Linked DNA regions of Arabidopsis thaliana. The protein of the gene in region 1 interacts with the protein of each later gene in a pairwise test. Each region holds a gene or a part of one and is shown in the gene's direction. Other genes may lie near its edges. The genes, in order: AT4G32250 and AT3G46160.

What was found.
Region 2: the proteins of AT4G32250 (region 1) and AT3G46160 interact in a protein complementation assay, tested with the Arabidopsis thaliana proteins (one large-scale study listed by BioGRID).

The regions. Positions count from the first base shown.
Region 1 is NC_003075.7:15,569,263-15,578,456, reverse strand, and holds AT4G32250 (Protein kinase superfamily protein), read left to right. Parts: upstream 1-5,054; 5' UTR 5,055-5,928; coding exon 5,929-6,276; intron 6,277-6,356; coding exon 6,357-6,448; intron 6,449-6,552; coding exon 6,553-7,026; intron 7,027-7,250; coding exon 7,251-8,172; 3' UTR 8,173-8,413; downstream 8,414-9,194. Other genes in the region: AT4G32272 (Nucleotide/sugar transporter family protein), read left to right, coding at 294-424, 523-567, 648-745, 832-939, 1,033-1,089, 1,188-1,262; AT4G32270 (Ubiquitin-like superfamily protein), read left to right, coding at 2,097-2,247, 2,456-2,555, 2,678-2,777, 2,992-3,086, 3,169-3,442; PDE334 (ATPase, F0 complex, subunit B/B', bacterial/chloroplast), read left to right, coding at 3,871-4,365, 4,434-4,598. UniProt on the Arabidopsis thaliana protein: Serine/threonine protein kinase acting as a regulatory component of the plastid protein import machinery by phosphorylating import receptors (e.g. the A-domain of TOC159, TOC120 and TOC132).
Region 2 is NC_003074.8:16,945,576-16,954,769, forward strand, and holds AT3G46160 (Protein kinase superfamily protein), read left to right. Parts: upstream 1-5,379; coding exon 5,380-6,561; downstream 6,562-9,194. Other genes in the region: MYB48 (myb domain protein 48), read left to right, coding at 46-175, 279-801; AT3G46140 (Protein kinase superfamily protein), read left to right, coding at 2,515-3,645; AT3G46150 (uncharacterized protein), read right to left, coding at 3,956-4,194, 4,283-4,341, 4,440-4,570; AT3G46170 (NAD(P)-binding Rossmann-fold superfamily protein), read right to left, coding at 7,148-8,014; UTR5 (UDP-galactose transporter 5), read right to left, coding at 9,096-9,194.

The DNA.
Region 1 (9,194 bases):
CTGTTGAATTTGATAATTTCCTGAAGTATTCAGATTCTGGGTTTAATAGTATCTCTTAGGAAGAAATAACTCCTTATGTTTGATCAAAATAGACAAGAATTAGGATTTAGGAGTTTGCGAGAGATAATTGTAGCTCTACGTTTATTCTGTATGTTACATGCCCCAGAGGCTTATGTGGTATGGTGCTTTAAGTCCCTCCATGAAAAAGTATGCACATGTTATTACCTCTAAAAGGAGAATCATGCTCCTTGACTCTTACATGCACAACTAAACTCTTGTAAAATTGATGTCAGTGTTGGTATTATCTTGCTTGGCGCATTTTTTGCTGGAGCTAGGGACTTGTCATTTGACTTTTATGGATATGGTGTTGTTTTCTTAGCCAACATATCAACAGCAGTATATCTAGCAACCATTGCCCGTACTGGTACACTAGTTACTCGCTCTCTGAATAAATTGTTTTACTACATGTCCTCCTGCCAGAGTGAAATCTCTCTTACCCAATTCTAATGTCTGGTTCTCCAGGTAAATCAAGTGGCTTGAATAGCTTTGGCCTTATGTGGTCCAATGGTAATATAAACTAAACAGATAACTAAATTGACCCTAAACACTCAAGACTTGCTTTGAATTTGTGAGATTTTCAATGATAGGAATTATATGCGGACCTATATTGATGATTTGGACATTTATTTGCGGTGACTTGGAGAAGACAATTAACTTTCCTCACCTCTTAACTCCTGGTTTCATGGTACCGTAAATCATTATTTGCCTTATATCTGTCCACTTTGCGTTTGTGATACTGATGATCTCTTTTTCTGTTATGTTCTCACCCAGGTTGTATTACTCTGCTCGTGCGTGCTGGCTTTCGTCTTAAACTACTGCATTTTCCTTAACACCACTCTCAATTCAGCTTTGACGCAGACAATTTGTGGCAATATGAAGGTTGGTTTCACTTTATTAGTATCTCCTGTACAAAAGAAAAATGTGAAACTAATCTGCCAAGGAGAGACTTTGAACATTATATCATCGTTGCAGGATCTATTCACGGTTGGACTAGGCTGGATGCTCTTTGGAGGACTCCCATTCGACCTGGTAATTTTCTTCAACATTCCTATTATTCCATTGAACCTAAAATCGGCATCTACGTTTGCTACATCTCACTACCTTTCTTTTTTGGTTCATTTACACAGATGAATGTGATTGGACAGCTTTTTGGTTTCTTCGGGTCAGGTTTATATGCATATTATAAGATCATCGGGAGGTAACAAGTCCAAAACAAAGAAAAGCCAAAGAAAACATGAGTGGCCTAGTGATGATAAAGGCTCATTAGTTTAAGGAAAAGTTGTTGACTAGTAGTGTTCAAGTGGAGATAGAGTGTTGAGCTTTTGGTTTTGGAGGTGACTTTAGAGTAGTATTAATAATGAAAGGCCTAATTTTTTGAACTTGCGTCTTGTTCTTCTTCAGTTTTCAACAAGGCGAAAGATTAGACTATGGACAAAACTGATTTTCTATTTTTTTGAGATCTACTGACTCTAATTTATACAACTGCTTCTTTTCATTGTATATATGTAGTATTATTATACACACTTGAGAAAAGGATGACTGTAATTATACAACTGCTTCTTTTAAAGCGTTCAATGATGATTTGGTACTAGGCATTCTTGCAAAGAGCTCGGTGAAAGCAAAAATAATTACTTCAACGGTTAAAATTGCAAGTACTAGAAAAGAAAAAAAGAGCACACCCAGTGGGACTCGAACCCACAATCGCTTGATTAGAAGTCAAGCGCCTTATCCATTAGGCCATGGGTGCTTGTTGCTACATCCTTCTGAGTTGTTTTATATATCATATAATTGTATTTGTAATCGTGTTCCATACCTTCTTCAAAAGCAAAACATTCTCTCGCCGGTAAAAAAGCAGAGATCCCTTAACCATGATTTCCTTCAAAGTATATTCCCCTTCCTCATCCTCTTCCCATGCTCATGGTATCAATCTTCCACTCTGACCCAACTCAAGCTCTGATTTCTCCTACTCCGTCGCCAAAAATCTTGGAAGTAGATGTCTTAGCCCGGGAAAATCAAATTTTCTCAATAATCAATCTATGGACGTTCCACCACGCCGCTCTTTGGCTGCGTCTCTCTCGCCTCTCCGGCTAATCGATGGACTCCCTCGTCGGAGGAGTTTCAATTATAATCAGATGCCTGAAGAGCCCATCAAACTCACTGTTCTCAAGCTTGATGGATCTTCCTTTGGTACCCATTACTCATCTCCTACTTGCTTTTACCATTAAATTTTATATGTTAACTAAGAATGTTTGCTCAAAAGAACTAAAAGTTATTGCTTTACAACGAATTCTAGTTTTTTCTGTGTTGTTTCGTTTGAGGTTGTCCAGAGAAATTTGACTGGTTTCTGAATTTGTGATTTAGTACAATTCCCTTTAAGCGTAATTTGGATTTGTAGGTATTCAAGTGTTGAAGACAGCGACAGTAGGGGAGCTCAAGATGGCAGTAGAAGCTGCGTTTTCTCACTTGCCCATCTCAGGCCCTGGCAAGATCTCATGGTACCATCTCTGATTCTTTGACTTGAGTTATTCTTATAATGATTCCGATTTTGTGTCTATATTAGGATAAGTAACTGCTAAATGATTCTTGATGATCCTATTTTTACCCTGTGATTATAAAGGCCGCATGTTTGGGGACAATTCTGCTTATCTTATGAAGATAAAAGATTGATTAATGAGTCTGAGTACCTCACTGAATTTGGCATTAAAGACGGCGATCAGGTTACCCTTTTACTCTTTCTTTATCACTTGAATACATCAAAGAGTCTATGCTTATGATATTATTTCATCTTTACATGTGATGTCGTAGAACGATGCATTTGGGTAGCTAGAGTCTCTAACCTGGATTATGTAGATTGTTATAGTCCAGTTTAGTTTTGACAACATAGTGCTTTGTTTTGATGCTCTATAATGTGTTTTATCTGCCATCATTCAGCTTCGGTTCATCCGCCATATCTCAAACTACTGCATGTTAATGGTGAAGCATAAGAGCAAGACACCCCGTGTTTCTTCTTTCAAACAACTCAAACTGTAAGAACTTTTGGTGTTAAAATGTTTTTAGCATTTCATTATCCGGAATCTCCATAGTAATACATGTTTTTGGACCAATCAGGTTCTCAACCACACCGGAAACCCGGAAAAAGAACGTAATAAGGGAAGTTGAAGAAGACGGTGTTGTTGACTCCATCCCTCGGAGCCAACCAAGCTTTCTAGCAACTGTATTGGGAGGTTTGCTCTCTTACAAGTCGACGCCAAGTCAACGAGGTACTAAATACAGAAACGTGACTGCAAGTAGAGTTTTTAACAAACTCATTGCAAGGTTTCGTTTCAAGTGTAATTCCGAGAAGGATGTGTGGAACAGAAAAAAACTCATATCCGAAACCTAAAAAAAAGCACTCCTTTTCTATCATTTGATTCTTGTAGAGATTTTGATTTCCTAATCTTGGTGTTTATATACAAACTTGGATGTTGTGTGTGTGCAAAATGAATAAGGCATTGTGTATTTACGTTTGTAGTGGATATAATTGCAACCTTACCGTCTTAGCCATTTTAACCTTATCTGGTACAGCGTTCGCGTTTGCGTTTGCGTTTGCGTTTGTGTTTGCGTTTGTGGCCAAAACGCAATCATTTACTTTTTAATTGATTTTCCGCTCCATTGATTTTAATCTGACGACCACAGCCTTTAGCTTATTTGTGTGGCGAAGAGAAGAGATAACATTCCTAAGCAAATCTCTTCTCTCTCCCATTCGTCTCCAAAGAGATTACAGTTTTGAGCATTTCTCATCTCTCGAAGCTCTTCTCTGTGTGTGTGGCGATGGCTGCTAATTCGATAATGGCTTCCTCCAAACCCCTAATCTCCCTGTCATCCAACCAACAACCAAACCGAGTCCAAATTCCCAAATTCGCCAAACTTCCCCAAATTCCCAAATCCCTCACTTCCTCCACCGATCTCCGTAGCAAAGCACTATCACTCTCCTCCGCCACCGCCAAATCCTTAGCTTTAATCGCCGCTTTCGCTCCTCCGTCGATGGCGGAGGCGATGGAGAAAGCACAGCTCTTCGATTTCAATCTCACGCTTCCGATCATCGTTGTTGAGTTTCTCTTCTTGATGTTCGCTCTCGACAAGGTCTATTACTCTCCGCTTGGTAACTTCATGGATCAAAGAGACGCTTCCATCAAAGAGAAGCTCGCGAGTGTTAAGGACACTTCGACTGAAGTAAAGGAGCTCGATGAGCAAGCCGCCGCCGTGATGAGAGCAGCTAGGGCTGAGATCGCCGCCGCGCTTAACAAGATGAAGAAGGAGACTCAGGTATAAAAGAAACAACAATGCACTCAGAGTGAAGAAATTGGTAAATGGATTGTGTATTTTTTTTGCAGGTTGAAGTCGAGGAGAAGCTAGCGGAGGGAAGGAAGAAGGTGGAGGAAGAGCTAAAAGAAGCTTTGGCGAGCTTGGAGAGTCAGAAAGAAGAAACCATTAAAGCTTTGGATTCTCAGATTGCTGCTCTTAGTGAAGACATTGTCAAGAAGGTTCTTCCTTCTTAAATTATATTTTTGTTAACTGTGTAATTCTCTGTCTCTCTATCTCAAAACTTATTTACAAGAAATTACTGTAAATCTCTTCTTCTTCTTCTTCTCTGTTTCTTGGATTGTTCGTCGTTCAAAGAAGAACAATTTTTATTTTGTAAGTTTATAAATAATTAGCTCTCTTCTGTCATTTTAGATGATTAAAGTACAAGTATGTATATCGAGGAATTAGTTGTTACGGATAAAATCTTCATGCGAGTCTTATCGTCACTAGATTTATGTCTATTTGAATCGATTGAACAAAAACGCAAATGGCAGGAGTTGCTTGTGTAAAGAGTAGAGAGAAATTGAGTTTTCAGAGCCAAACACTCCAGCTTTGTCCGAAAGTGTTCATAGAAAGTTAAGTTGACTCTTCCATAACGAGCTCAGGTCCAACAACGAAGCCCAAACCTCAGTTACTCTATCTTATTATTGGGCCCTAAAACGAAATGGGCCCTAAAGCTAACGCGGGTCGGTGTTTGATTAAAACAAATGACGGGGCCTCCACGCCTTGTTCCTTCTTCTTCTTCTTCTCACGCTCACGGTTCTCTTTCTCTTCTCTGTCTTTTTCAGCTTCTGAAGTTACTTGTTTCAGTTCCCGATGATCAATTCTTAGTTTTTTTGGCTTGTTTTCTTCGTCTCTCTTTCATCAGGCCTTTGGAGTTTTGTGTTACCATTTTCGCTCGCGTCATTACTGGTGTTAGGGTTTTCTTCAAAAGCTTCTTAATCCGTCGAAATTGCTCTTTTCTCTCCCTCATTGTCGGTTACTTTCTTTGACCCTTCTCTTATGCTTCGTAAGCTGTGATTTTTTTCTCTGGTTTCATTGCAACTCTAGTTCAATTTCAGTTTGATTTCTTCGCTTAAATATTTTGTTCTATGAGATCTGAGAGTTGTCTTTATTGTTGGCTTATTTCAATCAAAACATTGGCTGGTTAACTTTGATTGACTCATGATTGATTCTATCTAGCATTAATTGGTTTTCTTTGTATTTGGTTACTGTTACTTGTTCTTCTACTTCTCCACGATTCTACTTCTCCACGATACTGTCTCTGTCCCTTGTTCGTATCGCTAACTTATTCCCATAGTGGGCACGTCTCTGGTTTCTGACTTTTCTCTTCAATTCCATGTATTGCGTTTTACCATGATGTTTAGTTTCGGAATCATTTCTTGCTTTCTCTATCTGCTTGTAAGAATAGTTAACAAGTGAGAGGAAAGTCCTTTTTGTTGCTTAAATAGTTTGATTTCTGTTGTTGAGTTTATGCGATATCCCAACTGGTGAAACTGTGTTTATTGGTTCAGACAGAGATAAATGGCTTCAAAGATTATTGCTGGCAAGCCGGATGATACCGAGTATGAAATCATTGAAGGTGAGTCTGAGAGCGCTTTAGCAGCGGGGACAAGCCCTTGGATGAATTCATCAACGTTGAAGCTTCGACATCGAATTGGAAGAGGTCCCTTCGGTGATGTTTGGCTGGCTACTCATCATCAGTCAACTGAGGACTATGATGAGCATCATGAAGTGGCCATCAAAATGCTTTATCCCATCAAGGAAGATCAAAGAAGGGTTGTGGTAGATAAGTTTGAAGATCTCTTCTCTAAATGTCAAGGACTAGAGAATGTCTGTCTGCTCAGGGGAGTCTCTAGTATCAATGGAAAGGTAAGTGAAACAAACATGTGTGTTTCTCTAGTTTCACCGTATTTTCAATTTTTGTTTAATAGCTGATTTGTATCGTGTAGATATGTGTCGTCATGAAATTCTACGAGGGCTCTCTTGGTGACAAGATGGCTCGGCTTAAAGGAGGAAAGCTTTCACTGCCAGATGTTTTGAGGTAATTCTTCATTACACAAGTAAGAAGCTCATTGTAGTAGCGTCTTCTTCATTGTAATATAGAATACTAATGTCTTTCTTATTTATGTGAACCTCGTTTTACAGATACGGGGTTGATCTGGCTACAGGGATCCTGGAGTTGCACTCAAAAGGGTTTCTCATTCTCAATCTCAAGCCCTCTAACTTTCTTCTCAGTGATAACGACAAGGCCATCCTCGGGGATGTTGGGATCCCTTATCTCCTTCTTAGTATCCCTTTACCAAGTTCTGATATGACAGAGAGACTTGGAACTCCAAACTATATGGCACCAGAACAGTGGCAACCGGATGTCAGAGGTCCCATGTCCTTTGAGACTGATTCTTGGGGATTTGGTTGCAGCATTGTTGAAATGCTGACTGGTGTACAACCTTGGTCTGGGAGATCTGCCGATGAAATATATGATTTGGTGGTGAGAAAGCAAGAAAAGCTTAGTATCCCCAGTAGCATACCGCCTCCTCTCGAGAACCTACTTCGGGGTTGCTTTATGTATGATCTTCGAAGCCGACCTTCGATGACTGACATCTTACTCGTCTTAAAGAGGTAAATCATATCTTGACACCGTTATATATTCAGTTTGAACAAGATCGATTTAGAAGTGTTTATATTTCATTATGTATGGTCATAGTATCTTCGGAAAATCCCATAGTTTTTATAGTTTCGTGTCTGATGTTTTAATATTTTTTTGGAATCCAATTTCTTTATTCTTGATGGAAATTTTAATTGGCTACCTTTAATTGTGATATTGACTGGAACCGATTTGGCAGCTTGCAGAACTCGGAGGAGGAACAGGTCAGGAGAGGCATTGATAGTAGAGAAATCAGGAAGAGCTCGGCTACTCTTGGTTATACAGAATGGTTTCTTTCAAAGGATCATCTGCAAGTGCGCGACACCGTGCGTTCAAGAAAGCCTGCCAATTCGTGTAAGCATGAGAACATGGATGTGCCAGAAGGAATGGTGGTTGGTTTAGAACGTGACTCCACAGACCCAGATGGATTTGTGCTAGTTAAAGTCCATGGTGTACATGATCCATTAAGGGTTCACGTATCTGTTCTTGAACGGGTAACTAACGGCTTAGCTTCTGGAGATTGGGTGCGTCTGAAGGTCAGGAAAGACAAGAGGCACTCTCCGGTTGGTGTTCTCCATTCAATTGACCGTGAGGGAAATGTAGCTGTTGGATTTATTGGGTTGCCAACTCTCTGGAAAGGGACATCATCGCAGCTTCAGATGGCTAAAGTATACAGTGTGGGTCAATTTGTGAAACTCAAAGCCAATGTTGTCATCCCGAGATTCAAATGGATGCGTAAAGGTAGAGGTATTTGGGCAACTGGCAGGATCTCTCAGGTTCTACCAAACGGTTGCCTTGAAGTGGACTTCCCTGGAATGTTACCTTTTGGAGAGGAACATGGAAGCTATCTTGCAGATCCGGCTGAAGTAGAGATTGTGAATTTCAATACATGTCAAGGAGCTGTGGAAAAATATCAACATCTGGAGGATTTTCATTGGGCTGTGAGACCTTTGCTTATTGCTATGGGTCTATTGACAGCGATGAAGTTAGGGATCTGTGTCAGGAAGAAAATAGGAAGGTCAAAGGATGGGAAACAACGCGATGGCTCGACTGGACAAGGTGACTGTAAGATTCCGGATGGTAAGGGCTCTGACAAATCTAAATGGCTTGTGTTCTTTTAGGTCTGCTATGAGACACAGACCTTGTCTGGTCCATATATTATACTGTTCTAGTCATAATAACGTTTCATGTACATAATGACGTTTTTCTTTTTTGCTCTTTAAAATTACCAAAAAGCTTTCACGCACCAAGTGTTACTTGCAATTTGCTTAGACAACGACTTCTTACAAAGTTAAGTATATAATTACGATAGCCATGTAATTGGAGATCACAGATGTTTTTATATTTATTGATTAAGAGAGCAAAAAAAAAAGAGGCAGTGTTGCATTTGGCTAATTCCGTGTGAGATCAATGAACTATTCAAATTCTACTTATTGAAGAACACATTTAATCTCGGAGCCTACTTGAACGACTCTCTTAAAACATCACATGGTATATGCAGCGTCCATTACAAGTAATAATGAACATAACCAAACCAAAAGAGGCAAGCTTGCATGATTTTGATGTCCATGGCATTTCCTCAACTTAAAGCAAGAGGAGAAGACCCATTATTGAACAGTCAACAAGAGCACAGAGAACCCAAATTCGAACTACAAGTAGGGAACAAGGGAGTTAGCAAAGATACAGATGACCTTCATTAATCTTAAAAAGTATCAGCTTGAGAACATAGGCCACAATGAGAATGAAGAGAGGGACTAAAGAGGCCCCATGCTCTGTCTGGTGTCAGCGCTACATGGTCCAGGACAAGTATGGACTTCCCCACCCCCCGGAGACAGAAAACCAGCGTGTAATTCTGATCAGGAAACTGAATCCAGAAAGGTGTTCCTCCTTCAGGCATTTGGACCACAGAACGGCATGAGCTACTAGGTAAGCTTAAGCTTGCTCTTCCAGTTTCGTGCAATACGAACATAGCCTGGATCAATACGACTTCTTCTTTTAATACTACTTGAGCCACAACCATCTGAAGAACTTGATGAATACAGAGACAACCGATGCCACAAAATGTAACTAATACAAAAGCCCTAGGTACCTGCAGTAACAGAAAAGATAATATATTCCAAGCAAAGACAGTGTGTTTTGCAGT
Region 2 (9,194 bases), on another chromosome or scaffold:
AGAATAGGTAAGGAGCCACCATTAATGAGCTAGTTTTGGTTGTAGGTTTGAACAGAACAGGAAAGAGTTGCAGGCTAAGATGGGTTAATTACCTACATCCTGGTCTCAAACGTGGCAAGATGACGCCTCAAGAAGAGCGCCTCGTCCTTGAGCTTCACGCTAAGTGGGGAAACAGGTCTGATCCATCTAAGAAAGAAACAGAAATTATGGTTACTTGAATCTCAAATTATTGTTGTAACAGTATTGATACTTAAAAGTTTCCATCTATATCTATGTAGGTGGTCGAAAATAGCCCGAAAATTGCCGGGACGAACGGATAACGAGATAAAGAACTACTGGAGGACTCATATGAGGAAGAAAGCTCAAGAAAAGAAGCGTCCTGTTTCCCCAACTTCCTCATTTTCCAACTGCAGCTCGTCATCTGTGACCACTACCACCACCAATACTCAAGATACATCGTGCCACTCGCGTAAATCTTCAGGGGAAGTGAGCTTTTACGACACTGGAGGTTCCCGATCCACTAGAGAGATGAATCAAGAAAACGAAGACGTGTACTCGTTGGATGATATATGGAGAGAGATTGATCACTCAGCAGTAAACATAATAAAACCGGTTAAAGACATCTACTCAGAACAAAGCCATTGCTTAAGTTACCCAAATCTAGCTTCACCATCATGGGAAAGCTCATTGGATTCTATATGGAACATGGATGCAGATAAAAGTAAGATATCGTCTTACTTTGCAAATGATCAGTTTCCTTTCTGTTTCCAACACAGTAGATCACCATGGTCGTCAGGTTAAAAATTTTAAGATTTAATTCATTGAGATAAATCTGTTTTATATATATGTTATATAACTTATAAATACAATAAAACCTAACGACTGTAATAGTTGGTTGATGAACACAAAAACAGCTTAAGTCTGGACTCTGTAATCATACAATGTGTAGTAGTAGTAAGTAACCAGCCTAAGTCTATGTCTAGAATGAATAAGAATAAAAGTCTTGTGATCCCACTTTCTTTTATTTGTTTGTCAATGTATAATACAACTCAATACTCTAATTCTAAAGTAAACATTTCAAAATTTCAATTTCTTTTCTCTGTTTCTTTTTGGTGACATCTCTCTTTAATATATCTAAGGTTTAAGGTACTATACCAAAATAAGCAAACTTGGACAATAAAATTATGAAGAAACTCGCTTATTCTGACCGAAAAAATATCATTCTTGAATCTTTTGATATGGCATATACTCTCTCATTCAGTGATTTAGTGAAGAGACATTAGGTACTACGTACCATTTATCTTAATCCAAGCTAAAACAAAACAGGAACTGGAACATAATCAGTGATGTATAACATTCAATTGTGAATTGAATGAGTGTGACAATATTATATAGAAATATGAAGCAAAAACCACACAAACTATTTAAGAACTTACGGGTGAATAGAGTAACTCCAGAAACAGAACCCTAATTAGACCATCGGTCCATCACGACGCAGTCAAATCCTTATAATATTGGTTGTTGGATGCAGACCCCAACATCCTAGCCAAGACGACGTCGTTTGTCGACATGACCGAGCATTTTGAAAATTTACAATTTACATTGTTTGTTTTCCCTCCCGCCAGATTTTGTTCATAAAAAGAAAAGAATCTGTGTCAAGCCTCGAATATCCTACGGTGTTGGAAGCTGATCCACTATTTAAAATGCTTCAAGTGGTTTAAATTTCAAAACAACACAAAATATTTTTCCAAAAAAAGTATTTTTCAATACACATTTAAAATTTGAGAAAATATTTTGTTAATGTTAAAGTATCACTTCATGATACCGATTAAAAACAAGGAGATTTGAGTACATGTTAAATTTATAATTATAATATAATATAAATAACTAAATTCATAAATTTGTTTATATTACTAATATTTTCTAAATTAAAAACTAGTGGTTTTAAAAAATTGAAATTTCTTAAAAAAACTAAATATTAGTTAGTGTTTAGGAAATTAACGTTTATCGAAAATATAACTGGTGATTTGAAATAAAACAAAAAAACTAGTCTAAACACTAGAATTTTAAAAAAAAATCGTATCAAATAATAAAATTGTAATAATAATATTTGAGAATGCTATTTAGATTACATTTCTTGCCTTAATTACTGAGACAAATGTGATTGGTCTACTAATGGATTGCCATGTATATTTTTATTTATCTGTAAAAGTGTGAGAGAAAAATGTCTGCCAATTCATAATTCATTAAGGAAATTAAGAAAAACAAATATATTCGGAAACTACGCGTGTTTGTATGTAAGCATTAGATTTTCTTATGAAACTGAATCTAACGAAGATTTCTTAATGAAACTGAATCTAACTACGATCTTCTCATTAACCGCTAGAAAAAAGGAAACTTTGACCAAAGTCAAAGCAAGCTTATAAAAAGGAAATTTTCGGTTTCTTCTTCTCTGTTTTTGTTTTCATCACTTTCAGAAATATTTTACAGAGAAAAGCGAGAGAAAGAAGAAGAATGGAGATGATAGAGACAGAGATTTCGTTTTCTGGTTACCTCAAAAGATATGGTCATCTCAAATTCATCGAGTTATCAGACCCTCCTCTCACAAAAAGACCTAGATATTCACCCTCGGTGATCCCTCCTCTTCCTGATCAAAACCCTATTTTCACTCTTAAACTATCTCCGATCATTCTGAAGAACAATAAAAGGAAGAGATTTACACCGAAGAGTAGTAGTAGTCGCAGTGTTGAAGAGATAACCAAACAAGTATTCGACGGAGTAGTCAGAAAGTCTTCATCTTGGATCAAGTCTGAGTTCCTTGGAAGAGGCTCTTACGGTTCGGTTTATCTGGCGACAAGTAAGAAGGCCAAAACTAAAACGACCATGGCGATCAAATCTGCAGAGATTTCACGAGCTTCGAGTCTAATGGACGAGGAAAGAATATTAACCCGTCTCTCATCTCCTTTCATTGTTCGTTGCTATGGCCACGAGATTGCACGTGAGGAGACTCTGTTCGGTGGCGAGAGAACGAATTACAATTTGATTCTCGAGTATTGCTCTGGCAAAAGCCTCTTCGACTTGGTCAACGATAACCTTGGAGGATTGTCAGAGAAAGATGTGAAACTTCTTGCTAGAGATATCCTTTACGGTCTCGACTGCATCCACAGGGCAAACATTATTCATTGTGACATTAAACCGGAAAATATCTTCTTAACCCCTGTCGAGAACCGGATAAGACCTAGTGGGTATGTGGCAAAGATTGGGGATTTCGGTTTAGCATTGGAGAAGGGTTCAAGCGAGTATGAAAAAGCATCAGGTCATAGGAGAGGCACAACGCGATACATGTCTCCGGAGCTTATACGACATGGGATTGTTGATTACGCTGTTGACACGTGGGCTTTCGGATGCACAGTTTTGGAAATGTTAACGGGACAACAAGTATGGGGAGAACATAGTGATCTCGGTTCTGTAGATTGGGACATTCTCATCGGTCAAAGCTGTTACATTCCTTATATACCGGATTGGTTATCTGAAGAAGCACAGCATTTTCTCAGCAGATGTTTAAAAAGGGACCCTGCTTCAAGGTGGGGGATTGGTGCACTCTTGAACCACCCCTTTTTGCAATGTGGATCTATAATTGTTTAGTAACGGTTTTGTTTATTAGTTTTAAGTTGTAAGATGAAGTATCCAACTCTCTATTTGTTATGTGTTTGTGGAAGTTTTGATTAGCATAAATCGTACTTGCGAGATAAATGATAAGAGACTTTTATAACTTTCTTATAGAAACACCAAATTTAATTGAGTATTATAGCAAATCACAATATTGTTTCATTAAGATAGAACAGATTCTGATGTCTAAAGCTAACAAGAACAAACACAACAAGACCAAGTGTTCCATATTAGACAACTCCACCAAGCAAAGCTAACATTGCCATGAAGTAAAAGAGCAAAATCATCATTGGTGAGAAGAGCTGCTGCAACTTTTGATATCCCATGAAATATGCTTGTCTTCTTCCTCGTAGAAAGAAATAAAACCTTCATAAACTTGAGCAAATGAAAGAGGAAGCAACAAGGCTAGGTGTCTCTTGAATAACCAATGATCACTATCAGCTCCCCCTTGTCTTGGAACACATGTCATGTCATTTCTTGTAAAAGACAGTGTAGTGTTTGTGCTATCAACAAAGAGAAGAAGAACTGGAATTGGAACACATCTCTGAGCAGCAACATGACACAAGCATCACACAATACATCACTCAAAATTGTGTGGTGTATTGGACTGAACCACGCTCTCTGCGACAGAAACCATCAAAACCACCAAGCTCTCGAGCAACAACATCATCACTAACGAAGACAATTCCAGAATCTGAAATTATCATTCATTCCAGAAGCTAAATTCATACTGAGAAAGGGCCAGTATCCATGAACATATAACATCAAACATGAACCAGAGAGTATGAATGACTTTCTGGTGGTCGCGTAAGAGATCCAACGATGTAACCATTATACCAAATCCTGTTGGTTTAGCAGAATCATGAGCTGGCATGAGCATCACCTGAGAAGATGTAACCATTTTACCAAATCTCAAACTAGTAGCTGAGATCTACACGAAGCTCGTTTTTGGCGATGATTCGAACAGAAACACGATCAATTTTGATGAATCAACTGGATATTGAACAAATTGAATACTTTGATCGGAGAAGAAACAAATCGGAAACACACACGGATTGATCGGAAAAATCAACCAATCGGAGAAATTAAACTATCAAACGAAACGAAATTGACTGTAGAATCAGAATATATAAATTGGTTTAGAAAGTATACTAAACCAAAGTCTAAACCAAAGATACTAACCAAACTAAACCAAGTGTATAGACTCTATTACCACAAATTCTGAAATTATCTAGCCAAAAGTCAGACAATTAACATGTGACTACTGGTTTTAGTTTCGCATATTCTACAAATTCTGAAATCAAAACAATAAACTATGAAAAAAATAAGAAGGAAATTTAGTATACCGAAACCGAAATTTCTGTTTCTTTTGAGATTAAACTAATCCGGAAAATGGAGACTCTAACCAAACCGGGTCGGTTTTGCTGATCGGAAATAAATAAATTAATAATGAATAAGAAATAGGAAACTCGTATACCGAAACCTAAATTTCTATTTCGTTTCAGATTATACTAATCAGAAAAATGGAAACTCTTACCGAACCGGTTCGGTTTTGTACTTGACTAATACTAAACCCTAAAAGAAAAAAGGAAATTTGAGTCACAAGTTATAAATAGTCTCTCTCGCCTCTTCGCTCTGTCTCATCGTTTTTGTCTAACAACAACAATTCAGAGAAAATAGAGAATTATAAAAAGTTCTAGAGTGAAAAATATGCCGAGATCTATGTCTTCTGATCGATTAGTTCAGTGGGACGACGACTCTAACCGTCCTCACAAGAAGTTGAAGCATTCAACAACGATTTCAGAGACGAGTGTGATAGAGGATGATGCTGATTCGTCTACCCAGATGGGCCATTCGATCAAAACCATTCCAAAAAGCGATCGGTGGGTCGTAACTCGTTATCTTGGAAACTCTTCACGCAGTTCTGTTTACTTAGCCGAGAGCACGATCGAAGGAGAGGAAGACTATCTTCCTGACGAGATGACCATTAAATCTATTGAGATCTCACAAGCGTCACGTCTTATGAACGAAGAAAAGTTTCTATCCCGTCTCCAAAACCCTTTTGTTGTGTCTTTCTACGGCCACGAGGTCACTATAGAGAAGGACGGGAAGGATCCATTACTCGAGAAGATGTATTACAACACGTTACAAGAGTACAGCTCAGGAAGAAACCTAGCGACACACATTGAAAAAAACAGAGGAAAATTACCGGAAGATGATGTGAGGAGTCTCGCTAATGAGATATTGCTTGGTCTCAAGTATATTCATGAAGAGAAGATCATTCATTGTGACATCAAACCAAAGAATATCATACTTCCGTTTGAGAATAACCTATTTGCTCAGATCGCTGGTTTTGGAAAAGCGATAAAGAAATGGTCGGTTGAGTATGGTGAAGGATTAGGTCATAGGATAGGCACGTCACGATTATTGCCCCCGGAGGTTATGATGGACATGGTTTTGGATTATGGTGCTGATGTGTGGGCTTTTGGCTGTACCGTGCTTGAGATGTTGACTGGAGAAAGAGTTTGGAGTGAGTTTGGTAAGCTTGATTGGGAAGGCTGGAAGACCCTCATTGGTGAAAGTGGTAGCGTTCCCTATATTCCTAATTACTTGTCTGATAAGGCAAAGGATTTTCTTGCAAAGTGTTTGGAGAGAGATCCATCTAAGAGGTGGTCAGTTGATAGTTTGCTCGAACATGAGTTCCTTAAATGGATTGACGAAGACGAAGAAGAAGAAATATACGAAGAAGAAGAGGATGACTTTTATGATGGAATAGAAGATGTCGATGAAGAATATGAAGCAAATCTAGAAGCTGAAGCAGCAGTTGAGGAAGAAGAAGCCATTGAAATAGATGAAGAATATCCTAAAGAGGAATCGGAAGATGACCTATAAGAATATATTCATGTTAATTTCTACTCTTTTTTGGATCTTGTTACATTATATATCTTTATTTGTATGACAATGCAAAAGTTTCACTGAAAAATAGAATTTAAGGGGAAATTACTCCAAAAATAAAAAGAGGTAGAGCACAACAATATTCAAAAATCAGAATCAGAGGTAAGGTTTAGTAATATACTACTACTAACCAAGACGTTGATTACTTTCTCCAATAGATAATAAGCTTCTACAACAAATACAGATCCTAAGCTTAGGTTCAGAAAAGCAAAAAAGCAACAAATTAAACACCAGCGAAGAATTCTCCATTGATCATCTAATAACCATAAATCAAAAGCTCCAGTGCTCCACTCAGTTTTTGATAAAAATATACAAACTCTAAACAAAATTCAACCAAGTAAAAAAAGAATCAGGGAATCAAAATATATTGGGCCCAAAGGCCCACCATTTTGTACAGATGAAATTTTTGATAAAAAAAAGAATTGGTTTACAGTTAATGCAATTACTAATGAAAAACATGGAATATGTTCCTACATGTATTCACTTATTATTGCACACAAGCAGAACATATAAGGTTCGAATTTCAGAGAGATGAAAAGATGGGCACACCGGGCAATGTAGCTCCGGAATCAACAATATATGTATTCCCGGATATATATTGAGAAGAGTCATGGATGAGATAGCGTACGAGAGAAGTTATCCCTGGATCAACGGTCTGTTGCAGCTTTAATGGTACAGTCCTCTCGGTCACATTCTTGAACCACTCCTTTTGCATAAGACCTTGTGTGATCTCTGACTTGAAAATCCCGGGCGCAATCGAGTTCACTCTGATCTTGTGCACACCTAACTCAACTGCCATCATCTTTGACATGGTATCAACACCTATTTTGGAACAAGCATATGCAAGTGCACCGGGCAATATACCGCGAATCCCGGCAATCGATGAGATGTTTATCACCGAGCCACCTAGTTTAGCATCACGCATTAGAACACAAACATATTTAGATACTAACCAAGGTCCCGTTAAGTTGGTCTTGAAGACGTTGTCCCATTCTTCCTTTGACAAATCCAAACTCGACTTGACATTGCCTCTGATCCCGGCATTGTTGATCAACGCATCGATCTTTCCAAAGATTCCCCAAGCTCCCTGAACCACTTTTTGAATGGTGGCTGCGTCTGATGTAACGTCTAGCTTAAGAGCCGCGGCTTGGATTCCAGTTGAACTGGAGCTGTTGATTTCAGAGCAGAGAGAGTTGAGACGATCGACACGACGAGCTACTGCAATAATCTTACAACCAGCTTTGCCTAGATCAAGACAGATCTCTCTTCCTATACCAGAGGAAGCTCCTGTCACAAGAACCACTTTGTCTTTAAGTTCACACCACGGCTCCAATTGCTTCAACACCTCCTTCTCTCCAAAAACAAAAGTCAAAGTTTGATGATTGCTCATATTGATTGTTTTCTCTGTTTATGTTCGATGGAGAAGAAGAAGCACATGAAAAAACTTAGTGATATAAAAATAGAAGTGTCAGAAGATATTTAATCTGTATATACCAGACTCGAACAAGTCCCATCCATAACAAAAGACGGTCCTATACTTACACTCTTAATTATTTCATCATCAGATCGACAATTTGTTTATTCGTTAGGTTTGATTTTATTGTTATCCTGATTATATTTGTTTTTTTGGTCAACTATCAATTCAACACGACGTTTTCAAAATGCAATGATCTTTTTCTGTCTTGGTTTTGGCAACAAGCAACAATAATGCATATAATATATATAAGTTTATTATATTATAACCACGAGTTTCTCGCGGATCGATTCGTTTATGATTCAGAGTTTGGACTCCACAATAAACTGTTCTTTATTATTGGAAAGTATCTAAAAAACAATTATGGTGCAACGTTCTCTATCACTGCAAGGTTTATGTCACCGGAGCTTATAAGGGACAATGTTTTGGATTATGGTGCGGATGTGTGGGCTTTTGGGTGTACCGTGCTTGAGATGTTGACAGGAGAACGAGTCTGGTAAGCTTGATTGGTAAGGTTGGAGAACTCTCATTGGTGAAAGTGGAATTGTTTCATATATCCCTGATTACTTGTCTGATAAATAAGGCAAAGGATTTTCTCACCAACTCTAATGTTGACTTTAGTGTAATTTCTTATATTGTGTCAATCGTAAACTCTGTAATAACCAAACTTTTAAGTTCTGTTTGATCCTTTAAACCAAAATTGTTACTGTATTAAATTCAGTTGATATGAATCAGCCATTGTATCACAAATTTATGATATTTCTTGATACAATATCAAAACTCCATAACAATTTTACTTCACAATCATTTTAACAAGTCTACAGAAACAGTAAATAAATTGATCCTTGGTCTCATTGGTCTCTATAAGTACCCGTCCTACGTCATGTATGACTCAACTGCTTTAGTTTTGTTAGTTAGATGCCTCAAAGACAGAGGGATCTTTAGATTTGGCTGGTAACTGTTTAAGCCTCAGAGAAGATAAAGCTCTCTCTGTGCTTTAAGGGTTTCCCTTCAGAGGCTGCGCCTCTTCATCCCGTGGAAGTTCTTGAGCTGCCGGCGGCTTTTCTGATTTCTTCTTCACGAAGGTTTTAGCATA